Danio rerio: one gene and its partner. The protein of the gene in region 2 interacts with the protein of the main gene of each other region in a biochemical or structural test. Links are inferred from orthologs where the notes say so. Each region holds a gene or a part of one and is shown on either strand. Other genes may lie near its edges.

The links.
Region 1: the proteins of araf (region 2) and gna12a form a complex in vitro, tested with the Homo sapiens proteins (2 studies listed by BioGRID). The link is inferred for Danio rerio from reciprocal best matches to the Homo sapiens genes ARAF and GNA12.

Annotation. Positions count from the first base shown.
Region 1 is NC_133178.1:40,653,175-40,657,648, reverse strand, and holds the start of gna12a (guanine nucleotide-binding protein subunit alpha-12a), read right to left. Parts: upstream 2,928-4,474; 5' UTR 2,521-2,927; coding exon 2,200-2,520; intron 1-2,199. UniProt on the Homo sapiens protein: Guanine nucleotide-binding proteins (G proteins) are involved as modulators or transducers in various transmembrane signaling systems. Activates effector molecule RhoA by binding and activating RhoGEFs (ARHGEF12/LARG).
Region 2 is NC_133180.1:27,471,685-27,475,513, reverse strand, and holds part of araf (serine/threonine-protein kinase A-Raf), read right to left. Parts: coding exon 3,753-3,829; intron 3,600-3,752; coding exon 3,423-3,599; intron 1,760-3,422; coding exon 1,713-1,759; intron 1,439-1,712; coding exon 1,320-1,438; intron 1,222-1,319; coding exon 1,090-1,221; intron 224-1,089; coding exon 89-223; intron 1-88. UniProt on the Homo sapiens protein: Involved in the transduction of mitogenic signals from the cell membrane to the nucleus. May also regulate the TOR signaling cascade. Phosphorylates PFKFB2.

The DNA of each region.
Region 1 (4,474 bases), on a different chromosome or scaffold from region 2:
ACGAGATCACGACACCAACATCATTTAAAGGCGTTTAAGGCATTATAATCCTCTAAGCATGTATAATGATTTGTCAGATCGAGCAGGTCTTCTGAAGTAATTCACAACTTGGTCTTGATGACGAATCACCTCCAGAAATGACAGCGACTCTTTGTTTACAGATTATGGGCATTTTAGTAATTGCTGTGATGTGCTGTGCATTTGACAGGACTGTACCTCACGTTCGTTTCATACAGATTACAAAACCAAAAAACTTTTGTGTTCAAGTGTAGTTGGTTCATTCAAAAAGTTCAGATTTCAAGCTTCACGTGGATATATTTCTCGTGTCTGTGAAGCAAGTATTCACTGAAATTCCAGTGTGTTTGTTGACCACCAAACTGTCATAAAAGCACACGTCTGGTCCGAGCTTCTCCCCTGGAGAAACATCATTCTATAGCAATCAATGATTGGCTGCTGTACAAGTAGGCGGGGCTTCATTCGCCATATTGACCGTTACACTTTTCCTCATCCAAAACTATACGAGTGACATGCTTTGTGTATTCTATAGCTAGATCTTTGGCGCATCTCACGGGTGTTTGTTCATTTCGCTAACTTTGCAGATGAGTGCCCTAAGGTAAAACCCGCCTCTTGCTCCTTGGCAGCAATGTATTGTGATACATTTTTAGTGGCTTCTAGAGATAATCACTGTTTCAGTGTAACTCGCCATTCGACAAGTGAAAAAAGAAGACGTATTATGTGTTTCACTGCTATCTAGTGGTTGGGAGCATTTCCGTTGTGTTGTGAGTTTAATGTTTGCTTTTTTGCAAAACTGCGAGGCAGCGAAAAGTTAACTGTGCTATAGCGAGGGGCCACTGTACTAATGTAAACCATTTTGCTACAAATGCGTACTGTAACTTTTTCAAAAGATGCCACCAGAGTGACAGCTCTCGTACCATTACTTCTGAGACGGAAAGTGTGAAGAACAAAAGAGCATGAGCGCATGGAGGACAGAGTCAGACATGAAGATGCTTTCCTACTAGTTATAGCACTAAAAAATGTGAATGAATTTCAGAGGATGTTTACAAGAACAGTAATACACCTCCTGAAATGTAAATGTAACTGCTAAATTTGTGTTTTAACATTGAAAACAGTTTGAAAACAATCTCACCTAACACTGTACTTTCACTTCAAAGAGGCTATTCAGTATTTATAACTTATTTGTTAGCAGGGCATTTCTACATGTTCACTGTATTTTGTTAGTTGTTAGTTATGTTTTGTTTACTGTACAGTATGTTTGAGTTTTTTAACATTTAAAAAAAAAAATTTATCACTGACTTCAGCTTCTGATACAGCTTATTTAGCAGTTTGTGTGGGCTACATGTGATTTTAGTTCATGTGAGCTTTTTCTGGCGGCTGAAGCACAGAGTTTGGGGAAGTATTAATTACTGTTGTTTGCAAAAAATGTGTGTGAGAGAGAGAGAGAGAGAGAGAGAGAGAGAGATTTTCATTTGTATGAAGCATTGTTTGTTTTACTTATTCGGACTAAAGTGTGTCACAACAGGAAACAGGCCAGTTTAGGCAAGGAAACTTGGCCTTGATGACCTTGGAATAACTAAATCATGACGGCATAATTTGCATTGCATCTACATATTCTGCATATGTGAAACACGAAAATGCTAGTGTTTAGTTGTATATAATAGAATTAATATTTGGACAATGGACATAGTTTACCAGTTCATCAATCCTGAAAAGAGAATGTTTATAAATATATAATATTACTATATAATATTATTATTTTAGCAAATTTGACATGCTCATGTCTGGATTAGTGCTAATCAACAGTGCAAACTTCCATAGGTAGCATTTCAAAATGTCTACCCATCCATCATCTATTTGTTTTATTTCATATTTTATTAATTGATATAAAAAACTTTAGAAATCATGTCAGATCTTTTATTTTTAATCGTCTAATACTTATGTAGGCTACTCAACTCATTCTTTTACAAATTGTTTATCCTTTTGTTTCGTCAAACTTATTGACTATATTATCTTATTGATCAGCTAATTGTGTAGGCTATTTATAGACCAAAATGAAAAGGAAGCCGCAGCAAAGTAAAAAAAAAATTTTAAGAAACAAAACAGACAAGTAAGGTGTCAGAAACTACTGTACCACAGCAACAAAAAAAGTAAAGCAAACTGTCACGATTGACAAATCGTTACCTTGATGACATTCTCAAAGATGGTATCCCTGAAGTCGAGCAGCGCTTTCTGGTCAAACTCTTTTCCGTGGATGATCCTCATCTGCTTGAGGAATGTGGACTTGCCGCTCTCTCCGGCGCCCAGCAGCAGGATCTTCACCAGCCGTCGTATGGAGCGCCGCTCGCGCTTCAGCATCGAGTCGATCTCGCGACTGCGCCGCTTCGCCTCGCGCTCCCGGTTCACGTCCCGCTCGCGGGTGCGATCTTTCCCGGTACTCCTGTCATCGTGAGCGGCCTCAGCGGGCAGTAAACACCGGCTCAGGGTGCGCACCACGCCAGCCATCCTGTCCAGCTTTAACACGGTCAGTTATCACCTGATCTACTCATTAAAGTGCCAAAGAACTTTATCTTTCGGATAAAATCTACTCAGCTCATCTGTCTACAAGTGTTAACAATTTAAAGAGACACTAAATGAGTAAAACCGAATCACCGCGGACACTTTCCTCCATTATTCTAAAGGCATTTGTTGAGGAAAGCTGAATAGAGATCCTTTCCACAGCAAAGCGACCACCACTGCTGTCCGCTAAAAAAACTTTAAAGAAATTATACAAACAAATCCACTGTTCGTGACAGTACAATAAAAATCAAGCGATAAATATGGTCAGGAAATGTTAATTCGCTGAAAAACGCATTCCTTTACATACTGGTAGTCCCAAAAGTTCATTCTGGAGGAGCGCGAGCGACTTTCTGATGTTTCCACTCAGTTCTGGGAAGTTTCTTTGACTGAGCGACTGACGCCCCTGTTGAGCGCGTGGCCGGCAGGGGGCGCGAGCGCGCGAGAAGGGTGTTTGTTCGGACATGAAGGGGGATTCCAGTCCGTGTCACAAATGTCGTTGTTACACAGTGGCCCCTGGCTGTCTGTCTGTTATCTACTTCTGTCTGCGAGGCGGTGACAGTTTTACATGAGGAAAAGTGCTGATAACTTTAATAATAAGCATAAAACATTTTACAAAACAAATGAGAATTCCCTCCTTCTACTCCTGTAAATCTACTAACATGCCAGCCTAGCTGTTGAAAAGGTAATTCATACTCATTCTTAGTCTTGAATGCTTAATCTTCATGACAAACAAATTCAAACACACCTCATTACTTAGTCAGGTGAATGTCATATGATATAATTAGCCTTTATTTATTTATTTTCTTTCCTGTCATAGAGCTAAAGCAGGCCACAACTATAGATTTGGTCATCTTCAATAAATCAATCCAGTCACTGATACACAAACTCCTTATAAACTGATAAACTGGCCATTTTTAGTTTATTCATTTATTCATTTTCTGTTGAATTAGTCCCTATTTCAGAGGTCCCACATTCTTCTTCTTCTTCTTCTTCGTATTATTATTATTATTATTATTATTATTATTATTATTATTATCGTTGTTGTTGCTATTTATTGTTATAATTATTATTATTTATATAATTATTATTATGTATTAAGGGCATTTCTATCTATCTATCTATCTATCTCTATCTATCTATCTATCTATCTATTCATCTATCTATCTATCTATCTATCTATCTATCTATCTATCTATCTATCTATCTATCTATCTATCTATCTATCTATCTATCTATCTATCTATCTATCTATCTATCTGTCTGTCTGTCTGTCTGTCTGTCTGTCTGTCTGTCTGTCTGTCTGTCTGCCTGCCTGCCTGTCTGCCTGTCTGTCTGTCTGTCTATCTATCTGTCTATCTATTTATCTGCAGTCCTGGGGAAAGGGGTTGTTTTTTTTCTCAAAATGTGGACTTTTTGCAGTTATTTACTTCATTTTCCTTTTAATTATATTTAAATACTCCAATAAGTGACATTTTAATCACTATCTGTAGTTGGATTAGCTTGTAGTATCCTCCATTTTCGATGTACCTTTAAATGTAAATATTTCCTAAAGATTTATAATAAACAAATATTAAAAAGAGCTTCACAATTTTCTTCTAGCCTCTCTTAAAATTCATTTAACAACAACAGCCTAATTAGTATAAACAGCAAAAGTCAGTCTAAGACACTCGACAAATGGGGGAAAATAATAAAAGCTTTTACTGACATGGCTATTTTTTTTTAAACTGCGCCTACACGTTTTGATAACATTTGACTTCATCAGGTATAACCTGATGTAGCCGCAGTTTTAAGCAACAGCTATGTCAATAAAAGCTTTTTATAATTTTTTTCTACATTTTTTGAGTGCCTTGGATTGATTTTGATGTTTATTCTGATGAATCCCTTACACAAAAAGCACACA
Region 2 (3,829 bases):
TTTTGCAAAAATACAGTTTGACAGGGAAGGATTTCTCGTGAGCCTGGATTTGACCTAAACACAAAGAACAGCTGTGGTTTATTCTCACCTGTGGGAAGAGAGGCCGTTCATCCCGTTTGAATTTCAGACAGTCAATGATGAGCCTCTTCATTGATTTCGGGCAGTTACTGTATAATTTACTGAGGTCTGGAGACAAGTAACCACGACCCACCATGAAAATAATCTACAGGAAGACAAAAAAAAAAAAAAAAAAAAAAAAATCAAACACAGCATTTCATAAATTAAACACACAAACACTTCTCCTGTTTTCCATACCAGAAATAGTTGTTTGTTCTGTTATTTATTGCCACATCGGAAACGTATGGCTTTTCATGGAAAGATTAATATAGATAAAGACATGCATAACAACTTCATATTCAATAAGAGAAATAAAACATTTTACATTAAAAACATTAGATATGATGCCTCAGTTCAATAAATGATAAAAAAAAAACATCCATTGTTAGAACTGCGTTGTTTTGGTCTGTTTTTGTATCTTTTTGTCTGTTGTATGACTTCAGCGCACCTGATGCTCGTCGTCGATTTAAATGCAGAGCGAGAGTTCTTTAGGGTCGCTGTTCCTTTATTGTTTGAAAAGTTGGTCAGAACTGCGCTCCAATTTGTGTCATTATGTTTTGTTTTGCATCCACGCACTAACACTGACAAAACGTCCTGCATCCATTCATTTGCCCTTCACGCTGACTGAACCCACTGATAATAATGTTTTGATTATGTTATTTTCAATTGTGTTAGAATAAATATTATGTTTGACTGTATTTCGCTGTGTCATCTCCCTTAATGTTACATCTTTGAGCCAGGTCTAACACCATCAAAGTGTTCTCAGTATAAAAATCTTGTCTAGTAGACTTAAAAAATAAATAAATAAATAAAAAAAAGTCCCATTTAAGAAAAAAAAAAAGTCGTAATGTAAATTTGACTACAAGTAAATGACATAATTTTAATTTTTGCCTGAACAACTGTCAGCTACAAACTCATGAAACTATACAGAAATTCCTGCAACTGTCAAAGCAATGATGACCAATGCCAGACCTGATCGCGGTTGTTGATATTCGAATAAGGCAAAGTCCCAGACATCAGTTCGTAGAGCACCACTCCATATCCATACACATCAGACTGGAAGGTGTACGGGTTAGTGTCTTGCATTCTGATCACCTCAGGAGCCTGAGAAACAACAACAGTGTTACAAGCATTAAACTACTTGACATATGCAGTAAGCTACCAGGTATAAGATTTATTGATGCTTGGTGACTGATTCTCACCATCCACAGGATGGAGCCACTGGGCTGTTCGACCTGCTGTGAGCCACTCCAGCGAGACTTTACTGTAGCCAAGCCAAAGTCACCGATTTTTACTGTCCAGCCTTCATGCAGGAAGATATCTGACACAAGAGCTCAAGAATATCATGCAGAACACAGTTAAAATAACTATACTAGTAGGGGGAAAACTATAAAAAAAAATCCTTACCTTGCAAAAGATTTTTCATTAATATCCACAACAACCCGTTTGAACTAAAAATGCATGTTAAAACAACTATTAACAGATGTGGTACTAATAATGACATCTACTGAAAGCAAAAGGGTCGAATGTGATCCATCCTGCAACAGATCTCTCACACAATACAGGCAATACATAATACATTATGGAAAGGATACTATTAGATTTCAAGTCCCGATGAATGATATTCTTGGCGTGAAGATAACTGTCAAGAAAAGCAACCAAAGTTAAAGCTTAAGGTAAGAATAAAGTTTCCAAAGCTCTGTATAAAGAGCTTACATAAAAGGTGGGACAATCATAAAGCATTAGTGCATTTCTGGAAATGTGAATTTTCCTGTGCAAGTGTGTTCTGGGATTCTGAAATGTAAGAGGTATTTTCTGATCGGAGCACCTCAAATTTATTTTAGGAAGTTGCAAGTGTGCTTTTACAAGTTCAAATCACAGTCTATCACTATCAGTTATTCATGATGCAAATAGCAACCATTCTTAGCCACCATTGTTGATATTGCATTAATGATATATTGTTAGTTAGCCTGGGTGTGAAGAACCAATAAATGATCAGCATGTAATGGTATTTTTCATTTTGGAAGTAGCTTTTCAACAGTTCTTATATTTCTTTTGAGATTTAAGATCCTTAAAAGGATAGTTTAGCGTTAGCTCATACTCAAATGGTTATAAAGTTTATAAACTTGTTTTTCAGTTGAACACAAAACTAAATATTCTGATGAAATTTGGAAGTCTATGGAAGTCAATAGCAATTTTTCCCAAACTTTCCTCTGCAGCACATCTTTGTGGTCAACAGAAGAAAGAAATTCAAACAAGTTTGAAAAAAGAGAAGGATAAGTAAATGATGGCGGAATATAAATTTTGGGGGAACTATCTCTAATCTCTATCTGACCGACTATCTCTATCTTTAATAGGGTTTATGTAGATTTCACAAAGTTAAATTTAAGACTTTTAAGACCATTATATAAAAAAAAATCTGACTTTTTATATTATAATTTGTTATTTATTAACCAAATATTTTAATTAAATTGGCAAAACAAGCTAACCCTAGTAGTACTCATGCATATTTTTCAATAAAATCTAAAAAAATAAACTAGAATAACTATTTTTTTTAAAAACTATAATACACTAAAATGTACGCACAACAGTCAGCCTCCTCACCATATATGGACTATAAATACACAGAGAACTTTTAAACATTAATTATTGTAAGGACGATAATTAAACCAAATTGTAAATTGTTACAAACAAATTTTTTAAAAGTTCTATAGAGATGAATTGTTGGCGATTGTATGGGTGTTGGGTAGCTTTACACAGACATAGGAAAATTAAAACCTGTTTACAATTATTTAAAGACCTACAAGACAAACTTTCAGTGAATTTAAGACTTTTTAAACGCCTAAAATTTAGTTTATGAAATTTAAGACATTTTAAGACTTTAAGATCCCACGGACACCCTGCTTTAAGCTTACCAAGGCTACATCTATCTTGATAATATAATAAAATAATTTCTTATTTTACTATTTATTAAAATCATAGAAATGCATTTTGTGAAGGCAAAAGCTCATAGAAGCACCCAATGTCATAAAAAGCTGGTTTGCTGCTCATAAAACATTTATTATTATTATCAAGTTAAGATTTACAAATTAAAAACCTTAACCATTTAACTAACTGAATGTACCTTTTGGCAAATAAAATATGATTTGCCCAAAAAAAAAAGCATTTTTAAAGTCTTACTTAAATGTACTTAAAATATCACATTTTATTGCCTTTTTAAAGAGCAAAGATTCTGCATGCAAGATAAGAACTAAACTTATACTGCTGAAATGAAGAAAAAAAAGAAAACAATTTAATATTCTTACTCCATGCCCTGTGCTGTTTGGCGAGCAACATCAATGCGCCGCATGGTGTCAAACTTGGTCTCAGTGACATGCAGATGGCGATACAGACTGCTGCCTTCACACCACTGTGTGATAATGGCAAAATTAGGCCTTGTCATGAAGCCCATAAACAGCAGAATGTTTACATGGCGTGTTTTTCTGTAGAACAAAACAGATATATAGTCAATGAAACACTCAATGGTTGTAGCAGCTAAAGACATTACTGTTGTAACTAAGCAGCATTACTGCAAACTACTGCTTACTAATGATCAAAGATGTTCTGTGAAGCTCTAAATCCCACTGACGACTCACCGTAAAACCTGCATCTCATTTTTAAAGGCCTGGAGCTGCTCCGGTGTGGGCTCTGTCACTTTAAGAATTTTGATGGC